2 linked regions of the Anolis sagrei genome follow. The protein of the gene in region 1 interacts with the protein of each later gene in a pairwise test. Links are inferred from orthologs where the notes say so. Each region holds a gene or a part of one and is shown on either strand. Other genes may lie near its edges.

What was found.
Region 2: the proteins of AIDA (region 1) and PINX1 interact in binary tests that used the Homo sapiens proteins (3 or more experiments, as listed by UniProt). The link is inferred for Anolis sagrei from reciprocal best matches to the Homo sapiens genes AIDA and PINX1.

What each region holds. Positions count from the first base shown.
Region 1 is NC_090021.1:37,977,832-37,987,259, reverse strand, and holds the start of AIDA (axin interactor, dorsalization-associated protein), read left to right. Parts: upstream 1-4,983; 5' UTR 4,984-5,150; coding exon 5,151-5,260; intron 5,261-9,428. UniProt on the Homo sapiens protein: Acts as a ventralizing factor during embryogenesis. Inhibits axin-mediated JNK activation by binding axin and disrupting axin homodimerization. This in turn antagonizes a Wnt/beta-catenin-independent dorsalization pathway activated by AXIN/JNK-signaling.
Region 2 is NC_090021.1:9,240,921-9,250,289, forward strand, and holds the start of PINX1 (PIN2/TERF1-interacting telomerase inhibitor 1), read right to left. Parts: upstream 3,774-9,369; 5' UTR 3,724-3,773; coding exon 3,705-3,723; intron 2,061-3,704; coding exon 1,951-2,060; intron 1-1,950. UniProt on the Homo sapiens protein: Microtubule-binding protein essential for faithful chromosome segregation. Mediates TRF1 and TERT accumulation in nucleolus and enhances TRF1 binding to telomeres. Inhibits telomerase activity. May inhibit cell proliferation and act as tumor suppressor.

The sequences.
Region 1 (9,428 bases):
CTGTAGTATATGAGGTCTATAATTCTCTGCACATGGATTCCTGAGGTACATCTCCTACCCTAATTTCTCCCCAAATATTCTCTATACAGCATAAGAAGGGAGATGATGATCCATCCTCTGCAATGTGGCAGGGCTCATGGAGCACTGCTTGCCACAGTTCTAATCAGAGCATTACATTTATTTTAAAATGGATTTTGTTATATCATATCTCATCGTAATCTCCACACATTGTGACACTGGACCGAGTGTTTTCCATACTAGATTTCATATCCACCCAAACATCAGCCAGTTTATATGCCGGAAAGAAGGGAGAGCTAACTCTTTCACACAGCAATAGATTTCACTTAAAAACAAATACCTGCCTTTAAAAATGCTCTGTACATGCTCAGGAACTCTATACATCCCTGAGAATAACAGTTTCCATTGAATTAGTCTTCCACATGTATATGATGAGAATCCCTTATTCAAAAGGCTTGAGAATGCCAGAAGTGGACTTTCCCCCCAGATGTTTGACTATCTCCATATCTATAAGGAGATATCTTGGAGGTGGCAACAGAGCCTAAACAAAATTCATACACACCTTATACACATAACCTGTACAGTATTTTAAATACTTTTGTCCATGAAACAGTTTGTATACACTAAATCACCATCTACCATTCAGGTGGACAATTTTGGAGCACTTCGGGTTTCCAGAAAAGGAAGGCTCAAGCTATTGGCTAAAACCTTTCTTTTCAGCAAGCTTTACAGAAGAAGGTTTTTAAAGAGCGAACCAGGGGTGTCATTTTAGCTATGTGAATAGGTTTTTAATGGTTCTGTTTGATTTTAATCATTTCAATATTGAATCGCATTTTAATGTTTGTATGTTTTAAATTATACATTGTATTGTTTTTAGTGTTAGTTGTTTTGGGTCTTTTCATAGAATCATAAAGTTGGGAGAGACCTCGAGGGCCATTTTTTGAGAATGGTCGTTTGATACTTCCAAGATGCCTCACTGTGCAATATTAGTTTTTTTTTTTTAAAAAAGTGGCATTTGAACTGATCCTTCCATGCTGTGATGAGTTAAAGCGCAGTATTTTCAAAACGTAAGAATCAGGTGTATACTCTGTTTATATCAGCTCGCATCTTATCTGAATGCAGTATGCATCCAGGTCTAAAAAAATTATAGAATCATAGAATTGAAAGAGACCTTGTGGGCCATCCAGTCCAACCCCTTGCCAAGAAGCAGGGAAATCACATTCAAGACACACCCAACAGATGGTCATCCAGCCTCTGTTTAAAAGCCTCCAAAGAAGGCGCCTCCAACACACTTCAGGGCAGAGGGTTCTACTGCTGAACAGCTTTCACAGTTAGGAAGTTCTTCCTAATGTTCATGTAGAATCTCCTTTCCTGTAGTTTGAAGCCATGGTTCTGTGTCCTAGTCTCCAAGGCAGCAGAAAACAAGACCGCTTCCTCCTCCCTATGACTTCCCTTCACATCTTGATACGTGGCCATCATGTCTCCTCTCAGCCCTCTTTGTCTTCTCCAGGCTAAACATGCCCAACTCTTTGAGCCGCTCCTCAAAGGGTTTGTTCTCCAGAGCCTCAATCATTTTAGTCACCCTCCTCTAGACACATTCCAGCTTGTCAACATTTCCCTTCAACTGCAGTGCCCAGAATTGGACACAGTATTCCAGGTGTGGAATACACAGGGTTTTTTAAAAAAAAGATAAATCAGGATACAAGTAAATATAGTTTTATTTTATTTATACCCCACCTTTTCTGCCATAGGCACTCAAGGGAGGGGGAGTAACAACCACATCGTCATCATATAGTAAGGTCTATGAGGCATAGGTGTTTCCTCACTGATGCTGCAAACAAGCAGGAAACCAAGTCAGAAATAATACTGATTGACACCGCTTCAATGGAAATGGCGCAATGCTTTGGAATCCTGAAAGTTGTAGTTTGGGCAGAGGCGGCCCTAGGTAATTTTCAATGGTAAGCAAACGGTATTTTGCCCCCCCCCCCAAACCAATCACTGATATATATTTTCTGTTCGTCATGGGAGTTCTGTGTGCCATATTTGGTTCAATTCCATCATTGGTGGAGTTCAGAATGCTCTTTGATTTTAGGTGAACTATACAGTACATTCCAGTAACTACAACTCACATATGTCAAGGTCTATTTTCCCCCAAGAGTGCCTCAAGAGTGCCCCTGGGCAAAATAAACTATACTGCAAATGCTTACTTTGCGTAATGGGTTGAGCCGCCCCTGAGTTTGGGCACCCACACTCTTGGGTAGAAAAGGATAACGACCTTGTGTAATTACAACTCCTGTGAACCCATAGCATTGAGCTATAGTGGTCAATGTGGAGTCAAACAGCATTAATTCTACCGTGCAGCCCCCCTCCCCCCTTCAAACACCATCCTTCCCAGTACTCTGTGGTTCCCAACCTTTGGTGTTTTGGACTTCAGCTTCCACAATTCCTAACAGCTGGCAAACTGGCTATGATTTCTAGGAGTTGAAGTTCAAAACAACTGCAAGACCAAAGATTGGGAACTACTGCACTACATAAACTGGCTATTTCCCCAGCCTAGACTCTGGAAACCAGGGTTCAAATCCCTGCTTGGCCATGAAACCCATTTTGGGCAAGTCACACTCTCTCAGCCTCAGAGGAAGGCAATGGCAAGTCTCCTCTGAACAAGTCTGCTCAAGCAAACCCTACGATGGGTTCTCCTTTGGACCCCCATAAGTATGAAACAACGGAGCCTCGCAGGCTTCCAGCCAAAGCGCCTCGCCCTTATTGTCAGCCACGTTCCCAGAAACTGTCGCCTCTATTTACCTTCTGTCTCCAGGGAGCACTTCCTGCCGGAGCCGAAACCACGACGACCACTTCCGGTCGAGGGGGTGGAGGCCGCTAGGAAGAAAACACGGAAGTAGAGCGTTCTCTCTCACCTCTCTATGGTACAGGACTCCACAGAACCCTTGTTGGGCCAAGCTGTTTGGACTTCAACTCCCAGAAGCCTCAGCCGCCTGGAGCAACGTTCAAGGATTCTGGGAAATGAAGTCAGTTATTGAGAAGGCTGGAGTTCTGCAGGCCATGAATTACTATCTGCTCAACTTTGCCTGTCGTTTGGAAGCTGCACAAAAAAGAGCCCTATGCAGTAAATATTTACAAAAACAAAACACTACAGCAGGTATGGGCAAACTTGGGCCCTCCAGGTGCTTTGGATTTCAACTCCCACCATTCCTAACAGCCTCAGGCCCCTTCCTTTCCCCCCTCAGCCGCTTAAGCGGTTGAGGGGGGAAAGGAAGGGGCCTGAGGCTGTTAGGAATGATGGGAGTTGAAGTCCAAAGCACCTGGAGGGCCCAAGTTTGCACTACACTATACTTGCTCTGCATTTCAACCCTTTCCTGGTGAAACCTATGACAAAACTATTTCAGTTGGGAGAAAAAAATATGACAAACCTGCCTGTCACTCACCTGTGACGTAGGAGATTCCCCACCCGAGAGAAGCCCCGAGGAAGCAGATCCAAATATGGTTCACGAGGAAAGGGCCGGCGGCGTAACTTCGGCAGCAGGACGACCCCTCTCGTAGGCTCCCCGGGAGTCCCAGCGGATCACGTGATCTTCAGTGCCCTGGCAAGAGGGCGGAAGTGCTTCATTTGGTAAGCAACCAGCCAGGCGAGTTGCCCGGTCTAGCAATGGCGGCTGAAGGCCTTTCCCTGCCTTAGGGGCATCTAAGTCCACGAGAACCAATGCCTTGAGAAAGGCGTAATTTTTGTCACCGTCCCATAAAATTCAGAAAAGTATGTGTGTGTGTGTGTGTATACAAATTTTGTGTATACAAAGTTTGTCACTGCCTCCACGTTTTCTCCCTCTATTTCCCAGTTGTCAATCATTTTTGACCAATCATGGTTTTTTTAATGTTTAACCCTCCTGTTCAAGGAGCTCCACTGGCTGCCGTTTATTTTCCGAGCCCAATTTAAGGTGCAGGTGCTTACCTACAAAGCCCTAAACGGTTTGGGACCAGCCTACCTGCGTGACCGTATCTCCGTTTACGAACCCACGCGCTCACTTCGTTCATCCAGAGAGGCCCTGCTTGTGATCCCGCCAGCGTCACAGGCGCGTTTGGTGGGGACGCGAGACAGGGCCTTTTCTGTGGTGGCCCCCCCGACTCTGGAACACCCTCCCAAAAGACCTAAGACAGGCCCCTACATTGGCAGTCTTTAGAAAGAACTTGAAGACCTGGCTGTTCCGATGTGCCTTCCCAGAATAGGAAATCTCCAATACCAAGTCCCATAAGCACTTTAGTAGAACTGAGATTGCTGCACACCGCACACTGCACTTGCCCTATAATCCTTACATATCACCTGTCATATCAGCACTTTTAATCTTGTACCCATTATTCTGGCCTGGCCCAGTTTTATAGTGTCTTGATGTATTGTTTATTGCTTGTTGTTTACTATTGCTTTAATTGTTTTTAATTTGCTTTAGGTGTTGTATTTTGTTGACGGCGGTCAACAAAAATGCAGTATTGTTATGTTGTGTTTTGAGGCCTTGGCCTTTGTAAGCCACATCGAGTCTTTCGGGAGATGCTAGCGGGGTACAAATGAAGTTAATAATAATAATAATAATAACTGCAACCAAGCTTTTGTGCTTTCTTCTTTCACCTTGATTAGAAGGCACCTTAATCAACCCTTAATAAACTCCCACAATTGTGGGAGTTGAAGACCAAAACACCTGGAGGAGGGCCGAAGTTTGTCCATGCCTGGCCTACAATGAGTGTTTGGCTGTAAATCCTTAGCCGTATACAACCTATTCGCGGACCCCTTGGGTATGCAATGATGCAATGAGTTCATAACTCTAAGCGTCTAGCTCTATGTTCTCTTCCTTTGGGTTAGCAATGGACAGCGCCCCCATGGAGGGAAAAGGAGGAAGGAAGGCGGGTCCGGCACAACCTAACCTGATGCGGAGGGGCGTGGCCAGCACAGAGGCGGTGGCTGGCTGCAGCTGCCTCGGCGGCGAGGAGCAGGTTTGGTTGCGATGGCAGCAGGGCTGGGTCGGTGAGTGAGGAGGGCGCGGCGGTTGCCCGGAGCGAGCCCTGCCTGCCCGCCCTCCCTGCCTCCCGGCCCCGGGGGCCAACATGATGCCCTAGCAGCGCTGGGAGCCATGTCGGAAGCGGCCCGGAGCCTCCTGCAGCGCTGGGGCGCCAGCTTCAGGAAAGGGACCGATTTCGACTCCTGGGGGCAGCTGGTGGAGGCCACCGACGAGTATCAGATGTGAGTCAGGCGGGAGGAGGGAGGCCTTGGCTGGAGCGTGATCCTGAGCCGGGCATCTCCACTGTCAAACTAATGAGGTTGGACACCACTTCAACTGCCATGGCTCAGTGTTAGGGAATCTTGGGAGTTTTAGTTTTACAGGGTGCCAAAGAGTGAAGGTGCTAAACTACAAATCCCAGGATTCCATCACATAGGGCCATGGCCGTTCAAGTGGGGTCAAATCGCATTCATTCTACAATGTAGATGCAAGGCCAACAACTCTGTGCCATCCCACTCCTGGCAGAGATAGAAGAGATAGGGGTGCATCTGTTTTGCTTTTCGAGGTTTCATCTACACTGTGGAATTAATTCAGTTTAATGCCACTTGAACTGCCATGGGACAATCCGATGGAATCCTGGGAATTGTAATTTGCACTATTTGGCAGAGAATGCTCTAGAGTAGACCTTATTAAGACTACAACTCTCAGGATTCCATCGCATGGAGCCATGGCAGTTCAAGTGGTGTCAAACTGACTTAGTTCAACAGTGCAGATACACCCTAGAAAAGCAGCTCTGGAAGGGGGAACATCAACAGGCTTCAGCTGCGTAGTTTCAGAGAGAGGAAACAATAATAGTGGGTTGTTCTAGGTTTTTTCGGGCTATATGGCCATGTTCTAGAGCAGTGGTTCTCAACCTGGGGTCCCCAGATGTTTCTGGCCTACAACTCCCAGAAATCCCAGCCAGTTTACCAGCTGTTAGGATTTCTGGGAGTTGAAGGCCAAAAACATCTGGGGAACCCAGGTTGAGAACCACTGTTCTAGAGGCATTCTCTCCTGACATTTCACCTGCATCTATGGCAAGCATCCTCAGAGGTATGCTTGCCATAGATGCAGGCAAAACGTCAGGAGAGAATGCCTCTAAAACATGGCCATATAGCCCGAAAAAACCTACAACAACCCAGTGATTCCGGCCATGAAAGCCTTCGACAATACATTGAACATAATAATAAAAACAATGGGTTGCTGTAAGTTTTTCGGGATGTATGGCCATGATCCAAAAGCATTCTCTCCTGACATTTCGCCTGCATCTATGGCAGGCATCCTCAGAGGTTGTGAGCTCTGTTGGAAACTAGGAAAATGTGGTGCATATATCTGTGGAATGTCAAGGGTGGAAATAAGTACTCTTGTCTGTTGGAGCTAGGTTTTTTTTTTTGTCGTGTCAGGAGTGATTTGAGAAACTGCAAGTTGCTTCTGGTGTGAGAGAATTGGCCGTCTGCAAGGACGTTGTCCAGGGGACGCCCGGATGATTTGATGTTTTTATCATCCATGTGGGAGGCTTCTCTCATGTCCCCGCATGAGGAGCTGGAACTGATAGAGGAAGCTCATCCGCCTCTCCCCGGATTCGAACCTGTCGGTCTTCAGTCCTGCCAGCACAGGGGTTTAACCCACTGTGCCACCGGGGGAATGGTGATGATAACTGTAAATGGGGCAACAACGGGGTGATGCTCTCGAGTCCTAGAATATATCATACTGCTACTCAGGTACAGAAAGCTTCATTGTGTCACTATGTCAATTCCTAGAAGTAGTTCTCCCAACAAAACACGATTAGTATGTAATAGATCACCTAACAGTGAGAGGATTATAATTATGGAGCTAGGTGTGAATGTTTCAATTGGCCACCTTGGTTAACATTTGATGGCCTAGAAGTTCTCAGGGTGTGACCTCTTACTGCCTGTGAGCATGCTTTGTTGAGAGGTGATTAGCAAGAAAACAGTCCTTTCTCCCACCCTGGACATTCCACAAATATATAAACCCCATTTTCCTAGTTTCCAACAGACCTCACAACCTCTGAGGATGCCTGCCATAGATGCAGGTGAAACATCAGGAGAGAAAACTTCTGAAACATGACCATACAGCCCAAAAAACTTACAGAAACCCAGTGATTCCAGCCAAGAAAGCCTTCGACAACACAATAAAAACAATAACACTTGCAGTAATAATAATAATAATAATAATGCTTGGGAAGTGTTTGACTTGTGATTTTGTGATACGAAACCCAGCATATATATCTTGTTTGCTGTGACATGCCGTGTTTTTGTGTCAATAAAATAATAATACAGAGAAGCTGGAGTGAATGTGAACTTTGAAAAAGGAGGCGGAAGGCCTGATTCTTGCAGCCCAAGAACAAGCAATTAGAACAAATGCCATCAAAGCCAGAATCGAAAAGTCAACTAGAAATCCCAAGTGTAGACTCCTCAAGGAAGCAGATGAAACAATAGATCACATACTCAGCTGCTGCAAGAAGATCGCACAGACGGACTACAAGCAGAGGCATAATACTGTTGCTCAGATGATCTATTGGAACTTGTGCCACAAATAACATCTGCCTGTGACAAAGAACTGGTGGAATCACAAAGCTAAAGTTATAGAAAGTGAACATGTCAAACTACTCTTGAACCTCGGAATTCAGACTGGCAGAGTTTTGGAGCACAATACTCCTTACCTCCTTACCTCACGATTGTGGGAATAAAACGAAGTATGGATCATCAATGTTGCAGTCCCAGGTGACAACAGAATTGAAGAGAACCAACTGGAAAAGCTGACATGATATGAGGATTTAAAGACCGAACTGCAGGGACTCTGATACAAGCCAGTAAAGATGGTCCCAGTGGTGACCGGAACACTGGGTGCAGTGCCTAAAGACCTTGGCCAGCACTTAAAAACAATTGGTGCTGACAAAATTACCATCTGTCAGTTGCAAAGGGCTACCCTACTCAGATCTGTATGCATTATTCGCCAATACATCACACAGGCATAGTCACTTGGGAAGTGTCCTACGTGTGATCAAATACAAAACCCAGCATAATGATTTTGTTTGCTGTGTACTAATCTTGTTGTGTATCAAATAATGCAGAAAAGCTGGAGTGAATGTGGAGTCTGTAAGAGTTCAATTGTGATGTCCCTAAGGCTTTTGTTTTGATGGGAAAATGGTCCTGCCTCCTGTGATGAGCCTTTGGGTGGTGGCTTCCTCTCCCAGGTCTGGTTCACTGAATGCATCTAACACTGTAGAATGAATGCAGCTTGAAACCATTTCAACTTCCATGGCTCCATGCTACACAATCCTAGGATTTGTAGTTTGATGGAGCACTTCCATTCTTTGGCAAAGAAGGCTCAATACCGTGTGAAGTTACAACTTCCTGGATTCCATAGCATTGAGTCATAGCAGTTAACACGGTGTCAAACTGCATTAATTCTACAATATAGAATATGCACACAAAGAAAAACCATATATTATCATATATCAGAGGTTCTCAATTTGTGGGTCCCCAGATGTTTTGGCCTTCAACTCCCAGAAATCTTAACAGCTGGTAAACTGGCTGGGTTTTCTGGGAGTTGTAGGCCAAAAAACCTGGGGACCCACAGGTTGAGAACCACTGCCATATATCAACAAGTAATCTGAAGGCACATAACTGAATTGGGACAGGAGTTTTCAGTTTTATTAATCATTTGCCAAGGAAGTTGTGACTGATATTGTTGTCTTGAATGACTAATAAAGGCTAGAAAACAGCATATATATTTTTATGCTTATATAATTTATTGGTTTTAAAACAGATGGCCACTCCAATTTCATATCAAAAAGCATGTAAATAAACAAATACCTGGCAAAGCCTTTTCAGCAAGTATATTTCCTATCATAATATTATGGTGCGTACTATTGGATAACAGTTGGGCGATTTTACTTTTCTCTAGGAATCTCGAGGTCCTCCAGTGCAACTCTGGTTAATGTCTAATAGACACTGACTAGTATAGAGTCATGCTGGAGGGCCTAGATATTTCTAGAGAAAAGTACTCTGGGAATTTAAAGGTCCTAGGGATTCCTAGAGAGATATTCTTTCATGTTAAAAGATAGTGTTTTATTTTCCCACTGTCACTTTCCCACCGTAACTTCAGCAGATGTGGAGGGGTGAGGGTACAGTGGAAACTTACTGCCAAACAAATTGAATATTTCTGGAAGGCCTGTGTGAGAAAATGGCCATGAGCTGTGTCATAAAACACTATTTTTTCATCATTTAGAGTATGCAACATTGAGGACATCAGTACATGTCAGCAATTAAAACGGCATGACCACAGGCACTGTCTGAATCAAGAATGTAGTCAGTGATCTGTTGTTACAAATAAATCACATTCAAA
Region 2 (9,369 bases), about 29 Mb from region 1:
GAGAAGAACAGCAAAATCGAATTACGCAGCCAAACAAAAATTATCTTGGTGCCTTCGTTTTTAGGCCTGTTCCTGGAGTTATTTGGCGTGCTGATTTTATTTATTTATTTACAGTATTTTTATACTGCTGCTGTCAGCCTTCCGGCGACTCGAGGCGGTTTGCAAGGCAAAATTCAATACCACCAAAAACAGAGTTACAATATAAAAATTTTAACATCAATAAAATCATAACAGCTGTAATAAAACATAATTCAATAAATAACCATTAAAACAATGTCCAATCCATCCTGTAGTTGATTCCGTTCTTATGTCCGTTACTCAGTATTCGCAAATGCCTGCTCAAATAGCCATGTCTTGAGTTTTTTCTGAAATACTAAAAGTGAAGAAGCCGATCTAATCTCAATAGTAAGGGCGTTCCATAGCCAAGGAGCCACCACTAAGAAGGCCCTGTCTCTCGCCCCTGTCAGCCATGCTTGTGACGATGGTGGGACCGAGAGCAGGGCCTCTCCAGATGATCTTAAGGCCCTCGAAGGTTCATAAGGGGAGATGCGTTCGGACAGGTAAGTTGGGTCAAAACCATTTAGGGCTTTATAGGCCAAGGCCAGCACTTTGAATTGTGCCCGGTAGCAGACTGGCAGCCAGTGGAGCTGGTGCAACGGGGGGGTTGTATGCTCCCTGAGAGTCGCTCCAGTTAGCAACCTGGCTGCCGTCCGTTGGACCAGATGAAGCTTCCGGACAGTCTTCAAAGGCAATCCCACGTAGAGAGTGTTACAGTAGTCCATACGGAATGTAACAAGAGCGTGGACCACCATGGCCAAGTCAGACTTCCCGGAAAACTGCATTGGATAGACTGCATCAGCTCTAGTTTCTAAGATATGGTTTTCTATGAAGGAACAGATGGTGACTAATAGATGCCACGTGTTCTATATCTCAAAAACTAGAGCCGATAGGTGGAAACTTGGGATAAACAGGTCAAAACTAACTGTTTGAGGAGTCAGCAGATTGGTGAAAGTGAGGACTAATAATCAAACAAATCAGCAAACTACTGGATAACTGTAGGAAAAGCATGGAGTGCTATCTATCTGTCATATTTTGAAGAGACCATCTGGCCCAGCACAGGGGCAAGCTGAAAGTGCATGCATCTCACTTGGAGCCACCAAACTGCCTTTGCTCAGCAGTCAAGTCTTGGTGGATAAGGCAAGGTACAAACACAGCTCACGTGCTAGGAAACAAGTGCTAGGAAACAACACTTAACCAGTCTTCCTTGCCAGCTTCAAGACTCAGACATGATTCCAGACTGCACTCTTTATCTGGTTTGTCTCCCAGGCTTCTGACTGATTTTCTCAGCTTCTTGATGCAGGATTGTTAATTACTATACATACAATGTGTGTCCATAGAGAGTGGCACTGCATGCACAACATTTCTTCCACAAGCTTGAACTGAACATGGACATTCATCCCAAAAGGGGATGTATGCATAATTAAAACACTAACAAGATTCTGTTCTTTGATTTTTATCTACCCCGTGGGAAACCAATTAGCAGAAAATGTCCTTGTTTGTTTGTCAATCTGCAAAAAGGGGGGCTATTTTGGGACATTCAGGTTGAATAGGATTTTTGGAACTCAAGACACTGACATTCCTACTATCTTTGAACTGCTAAGGTCTTGTTGTGTAAGGTCTTGCTATTCATCTTGCTATTTGTTGATTTATTTAAAACATTTACATTCCACCCTTATCTCTCCGAAGGGGATTCAGGGCGGCGCACAGCATATAAACGGCAAACATGCAATGCCGGGACAAGAATTTATATACGCATACATAAACATTAAAAACATGTATCTCAATATTGAAATACACAATTTAAAACCGTCCTGGTCATCAGTGTCAAATCTAATAGGCCTGGTAATCTTTCCTATTGCTACTTTATTGCCCTGTCCCGAATCTATGTACCTTGCCTTTCGACCATCCCATTTTTTCCAACATCTTCTGGCCAAATTTCGATTCATCTTTGCTCCAAGCACTATTCCGAGGATCCACAGACCATTTTTGCTTGCGACGTGCTACAAGAGAGAGAAAAGGTTACATGACCTGCACATAGATAGGCAACTAAGTTCAAATCTGGCTGTTCCTTCCTGCCATTGTTTACTGCTCTGAGGAACCTTAAAGAACTCAAATGCACTGGGAAAGGAATCAAATGACTGTGACCTATTTCCATTCTGACAATCCTAATGAAAGGTGCAGTAGCCCTCTCTCGTTTCCACTCTGGCAATCCTAATGAAAGGTGCAGTAGCCCTCTCCTGTTTCCACTCTGGCAATCCTAATTAAAGTAGTGGCCCTCTCCAGTTTCCACTCTGGCTACCCTAATTAAAGTTGCAGGAAGCCTGTCCACTTTGCCTAGTAGCTCCATGCTTGGCAATGATAGCCAGGCAACAAAGAGGACTGAAAAATCTCATCACAAGTGCAAAGAAGCCAGAATGGATGTCCAAAGAACTTCTAACTGTGCTAAGACTCAAAAGAGACATGCACAAGAAGTAGAAAAAGGGAGAAATCACCAAAGAAGAATTCAAACAAATAGTCAACTCTTGTAGGGAAAAGGTTCACAAGGCTAAAGCACAAAATGAGCTTAGGTTTTGTTTTGTGGCGGCAAAAAAAGCCAATGGGATTTTGGCCTGCATCACTAGGAGCATAGTGTCTAGATCCAGGGAAGTCATGCTACCCATGCTCTATTCTGTTTTGGTTAGACCACACCTGCAATATTGTGTCCGGTTCTGGGCATCACAATTGATGAGAGATATTGACAAGCTGGAATGTGTCCAGAGAAGGGCAACTAAAATGATCAAGGGTCTGGAGAACAAGCCCTATGAGGAGCGGGTTAAAGAGCTGGGCATTGTGTCCAATTCTGGGCACCACAATTGAAGGGAGATCTTGACAAGCTGGAAAGTGTTCAGAGGAGGGCGACTAAAATGATCAAGGGTCTGGAGAACAAGCCCTATGAGGAGCGGGTTAAAGAGCTGGGCATGTTTAGCCTGAAGAAGAGAAGGCTGAGAGGAGATATGATAGCCATGTATAAATATGTGAGAGGAAGTCATGGGGAGGAGGGAGCAAGCTGTTCAGCCGTGGAACTCTCTGCCCCGGAGTGTGGTGGAGTCTCCTTCTTTGGAAGCTTTTAAGCAGAAGCTGGATGGCCATCTGTCAGGGGTGCTTTGAATGCAATTATCCTGCTTTTTGGTAGGGGGTTGGACTGGATGGCCCATGAGGTCTCTTCCAACTCTAGGAGGGAGGAGGCTTGTTTTCTGCTGTCCTGGAGACTAGGACACAAAGGAACAATGTCTTCAAACTACAGGAAAGGAGATTCCACCTGAACATGAGGAAGAACTTCCTGACTGTGAGAGCTGTTCAGCAGTGGAACTCTCTGCCTCGGAGTGTGGTGGACACCCCTTCTTTGGAGGCTTTTAAACAGAAGCTAGATGGCTATCTGTTGTGGGTGTTTTGACTGTGCTTTTCCTGTATGGCAGAATGGAGTTAGACTGGATGTCCCATTTGGCCCCTTCCAACTCTATAATCCTTTGATTCTATGATCCTATGAGTCAGCCCAGATTTGCAGTTTACCTCCTTCTAAAGAGAGAGCAGCCAAGGGTGCCATCCCTTCCCTCTGAAGGTTAGAAAAACCCCATCCCATTCCTTCCCATCGGTTCAAAACTCACGCTCTGCCAGCATCGCCATCTTGGGAAGGGAGCGCTCCTGGGGTCCTTTCTCTCTCGCCGGCGCGCCGTGACCTTCCCTGCCGCCATCTTGCTAAGGTCTTAGGAGTCTAATTCAAACGCCGGGCACAAAGGAAGCCTCGCGAGGGAGAAAGAACAGGGTTAGGAAGAAGCGTGTAAGCTGAGACGCCGGGGAGAGATTTAAAAGAGGAATTGGGATGCGTTATTTGGTTTATAGAGTTGGGAAAAATCTAACCGGCACTACGTTAGTCGGCTAAATTGCAATTCCCCACCCGTCTTAGTAAGCTTAGGCGATAGAGTGAGAGTTGGTGGAAACTTTTGGGAGTTCGCCCTCTGTAGGACAGGAATGGTATTGCCTTCAAAAGTTTGTCCCAGAAGAATATATAGTATACACAAGGTTCTTGTGGGTTTTTTGGGGCTATATGGCCATGTTCTAGAGGCATTCTCTCCTGACGTTTCGCCTGCATCTATGGCAAGCATCCTCAGAGGTAGTGAGGTCTGTTGGAACTAGGAAAAAGGGTTTATATACCTGTGGAATGACCAGGATGGGACAAAGAACTCTTGTCTGCTGGAGCTAGGTGTGAATGTTTCAACTGACCACCTTGATTAGCATTTGTTGGCCTGGCAGGGCCTGGGGCAATCTTTTGTTGAGAGGTGATTAGATGTCCCAGATTGTTTCCCCTCTGTTTTTTTTTTTGCTGTTGTAATTTTAGAGTTTTTAATACAGTTTAGAGTTGGACTGGATGTCCCATTTGGTCTCTTCCAACTCTATAATCCTTTGATTCTATGATCCTATTAGTCAGCCCAGATTTGTAGTTTATCTCCTTCTAAAGAGAGAGCAGGAAAGAGTGCAATCACTTCCCTCTATAGCAAAGCACCTGATGAACCAACCTGGACACCGCATATTATTTGAGAACACAGAAATGCTGGACCACTCTCACAACCACCACGTCAGGCGACACAGAGAAGCCATTGAAATCCACAAGAAGCATGTGGACAGTTTCAACAGAAGGGAGGAAAACATGAAAATGAACAAAATCTGGCTACCAGTATTAAAAAAACTCTAAAATTAAAACAGCAGAGGGAAAACAATCAGGCACAGCTAATCACCTCTCAACAAAAGATTGCTCCAGGCACTGCCAGGCTATCAAATCAAGGTGGTCAGTTGAAACATTCACACCTAGCTCCAGACAAGAGTCCTTTGTCCCACCCTGGTCATTCCACAGATATATAAACCCTTTTTCCTAGTTCCAACAGACCTCACTACCTCTGAGGATGCTTGCCATAGATGCAGGCGAAACGTCAGGAGAAATGCCTCTAGAACATGGCCATATAGCCCGAAAAAAACCTACAACAACCCAATGTATACACCATTTAAAGACCTAAGAGTAAGCTAGTGATGATGATCCAATACAACAGCCAACAGAGTGTCTGCCGTGGATTCATCTTGTTGTGTTTCAAATAATAATAATGTTTGCCTTATATGTGTACTGTAATCCACTCTGAAATAAAGTGGAATATAAATAAAGTTTATTATTATTTTCCCTTATTTCACTTAGCAAAATGTATTTTGTAGTTGTGTGCCTTTAAATCATTTCTGACTTCTGAAGACTCTAAGGTACACAAACTGGCAACCTTTGAACTGGAATATATGGTGGTGTGGACTCAGATAACCCAGTTCAAAGCAAATATTGTGGGATTTTCTGCCTTGATATTCTGAGATATAGGGCTGTGTGGAAGGGCCCTGGGTTATCTGAGTCCACACTGTCATATAGCCCAGTTCAAAGCAGAAAATGTGGGATTTTGTTCAGCTGCGTGCAAGGGATCTGTGTGCGATCAGGGTGATTTGCAGGCCTTAGATCAGAGAGAAGTGCTGGAGACAGAGGTTGTCTGGGATTCCAATATCCATTCCATTTTTCATGGGAATTGGCTTTCAGAGGAAGATTCAGCAGATGGGGAATTTTCCCGTGATATCAGATTAGGCCTCTGCATGGAGGGAGTGAAGGATAGATTAATTTGGTGTTCAGAAAGACTCCGTGAGAAATCCATGAAATGCAGGTGTCAAAGAGATGACCTCATGGCTTCTCGGTCAGGTTTGTGCTTAAATTAAGTGATGTTTACTTGGTATCTCCAGAGCATACAACATTGCCATAGAATCAAGTTCCTGTTTCAGTTCTCAAGTTCATGAATCGAGTCTCTTGTATTTGCCTATGTTCCTGATAGAGTTTTGCTTTGGAAAATTTCCTGTCTTCTTGCTTATGGATTTATGCCTATGCTCTTGACTTCCTGGATTTCATGTAATTGGCTATTTTGGACAATTGATCTTTGTCCATACGAACTATTGCTATTTCATAGCTACTTTTATACTGTTTTTTGGGAGATGCCTTTTTCCGTTTTCTATATGCTTTCTGTAAATAAACTGCTGTAGTAAGTTACCGTGTTTCCTCCAAAATAAGACAGTCTCTTATATTTATTTCTCCTCAAGAAGACATAGTATGGCTTATGTTCAGGGGATATCTTCTTTTTTTATTAAGTACTAGCTGTCCCCTGCCACGCGTTGCTGTGGCCCAGTCTGGTGATCTGGAGATGAAGTAATGAGAATGTGTTGGTTTCTAATATATGTAATGTCTTTATGCTTGAGGGTAAACAGTATTTCTTGTTGTTTCTTTGCCAGTGTTGATGTGGAGATTGTCTGGTTTGCCTACTCTGGAACATGTAACATATCATTGTCCTTCTTTAGGGGTCCCTTTGAAATCTTTGATACTGCATCTGTCATATACATATATGTGTGTGCATATGAATGGCTGGATGGCCCTTTGTCAGGAGGGCTTTGTTTTGTTGCCCTGGTGAAGGGAGCTGGACTGGGTGGCCTTAAGGCAGCATTTCTCAACCTGGGAAGTCAATACACCAAGGGGGGTGTCAATACACCAGGGGGGTATCAGAAGGGTCACCAAAGACCACCAGGAAACACAGTATTTCCTGTTGGTCATGGGGGTTTTGTGTAGGATGTTTGGCCCAATTCCATCGTTGGTGAGGTTCGGAATGCTTCTTGATTGTAGGTGAACTATAAATCCCAGTAACTACAACTCCCAAATGTCAAGGTCTATTTCCCCCAAACTCCATCTGTGTTTATATTTGGGCATATTGAATATTCATGCCAAATTTGGTCCAGATCCATCATTGTTTGAGTCCACAGTGCTCTCTGGATATAGGTGGACTACAACTCCCAAACTCAAGGTCAATGCCCTCCAAACCTTTCCAGTATTTTCTGTTGGTCATGGAAGTTCTGTGTGCCAAGTTTGGTTCAATTCCATTGTTGGTGGAGTTCAGAATGCTCTTTGATTGTAGGTGAGCTATAAATCCCAGCAACTACAACTCCCAAATGACAAAATCATAATTTTTTGATTGATGGTCACTCCTTGTGTAGTGAGACATTTTGTTGCCAAATTTGGTAGGTACTGGCCCAGCTGTTCTTTTGTTTTTAAGCCACTCATTACGACATGAGCATTTATATATATATAGATGGTACAACAATCTGCATTTATGGGATGATCTCTCAGGGCTCAGTAGGAGACTCCTTGCTGAAGCTTTTTCCCTATTTATGGTATTTGTGTGGGGTGAGAGAGTCCCACAGACTGTTGCTGGTCAGTGCTGTGGAGCAGCAGCTTTACCGGTGGATTGTTGTAGGTTTTTTCAGGCTATATGGCCATGATCTAGAGGCATTCTCTCCTGACGTTTTGCCTGCATCTATGGCAAGCATCCTCAGAGGTAGTGAGCTTTACCAGTGTTTGTGTGGGGTGAGAGAGACCCACAGACTGCTGCTGCTTGGTGCTGGGGGAGAAAGTAAAACAGTAGCCACAGCTTTACTTCTTTCTCCTGAGCACACACAATATCCAAAGGAGAGCGTCCTGCTCCCCATTTCACTGAGGAGACTTTTACTTTCACTTCCTATGTCTCCTTCTATGTCTCAGCTTGCAGCACGCATAGAATGACAAGGACTTGACAGTGGGAGCCGACCTTGTATGCTGCATAGCCATGTCTATCACTATGTCTTATTTTATGGGTTTGTCTTATTTTCAGGGAAACAGGGTAGTTACTACTGGACTCTGTGTGGGGCTGGGGCTTTAGTACAGCTAGTAAATCACCAGCAATGATAAGATCTTCCAACTGAAAGGTTGCCAGTTTGAAGCCCCAGGTCGGCGTTAGCTGCTGACTGTCAGCCCAGCCTACTGTTGACCTAAGCAGTTCAAAAACAGCTTGAGCTCTAATTAGAGGAATTAAGTACTGCTAAAACAAGTGGGGGAGGTATTTTACGACACCATAAAGAAAACGTTCAGAAAATTCCCAGTGACCAAAAGGAAGGAGGAAGTCCTGATGGCTCCTCATCAGAGAGGATGGAGCCCCCGGTGGCACAGTGGGTTAAACCCCTGTGCCGGCAGGACTGAAGACTGACAGGTCGCAGGTTCAAATCTGGGAAGAGGCGGATGAGCTCCCTCTATCAGCTCCAGCTCCTCATGCGGGGACATGAGAGAAGCCTCCCACAAGGATGGTAAAAACATCAAATCATCCAGGCGTCCCCTGGGCAACGTCCTTGCAGACGGCCAATTCTCTCACACCAGGAGTCACTCCTGATACGACAAAAAAATTTTTTTAGAGAGGATGGAGCGACAGCACCCCCCTGTGGCTGGATTCGATAACAACCTCCAAGGTGCCAAAAAACCATCTTGAGCTCTAATTAGAGAAATTAAGTACCACTAAAACAAGTGGGGGAGGTATTTTACGACACTATAAAGAAAGCATTCAGAAAATTCCCAGTGACCAAAAGGAAGGAGGAAGTCCTGATGGCTCCTCATCAGAGAGGATGGAGTGAAAACACCTCCCTGTGGCTGGATTTGAGCACAACCTCTAAGGCGCCAAAAAATCTGGACGTCAACACAACATACCTCCTTTCTGTTCTGTCTGTCTCTGTCCTGTCTATCCAAAATGGCATTGTATGTTTGCAGTGTAGGTATACTGTATTTATTTATTTATCATGTCAGGAGCAACCAGACAGTTGTATTACATTTTTAAGAAAACAAACAAACAGACAAAACACAAAGTTTGCAATGGAGGTCCTCCATTGTGCATGTTGCATTGCAGCAGGTGGTCAGTGATTTGCTCTTCTCCACACTCACAGGTATACTGTGATCTGCCCTGAGTTCCCTTCGGGAGATAGGGCAGGATATAAATACAGTGTTGTTGTTGTTGTTGTTGTTGTTGTTGTTGTTGTTATGAAAAGGTGTTCCAAGGCTAGAGTGCAACACTTACCTGCTTCCAGCTGAAGCTCATTGAACAACTCGTCATCAATGTGAAGAACTCGACGATGAAGAGAAATAATCAGCCCAACACAGTAAATATTATTAAAATGAACTGTTTATATTATCTCAGTTGAGTCAATACAGTATAATGTATTAAAATGGAAAGGTACAAAATTGAAATAAATACTTTCTGAGTCATGTATAAATCTTTTGTCAAGATGACATTTTATGTTTTTTGTGTTTTTTTGTTTGTTTCTTTTCATCAGTACATGTTTCAATAAAACATTTAAAATGACATTTAAAGTATCATTTAAAATATGGTTTGTGGAAGAAAGACGCTCAACTCAAAC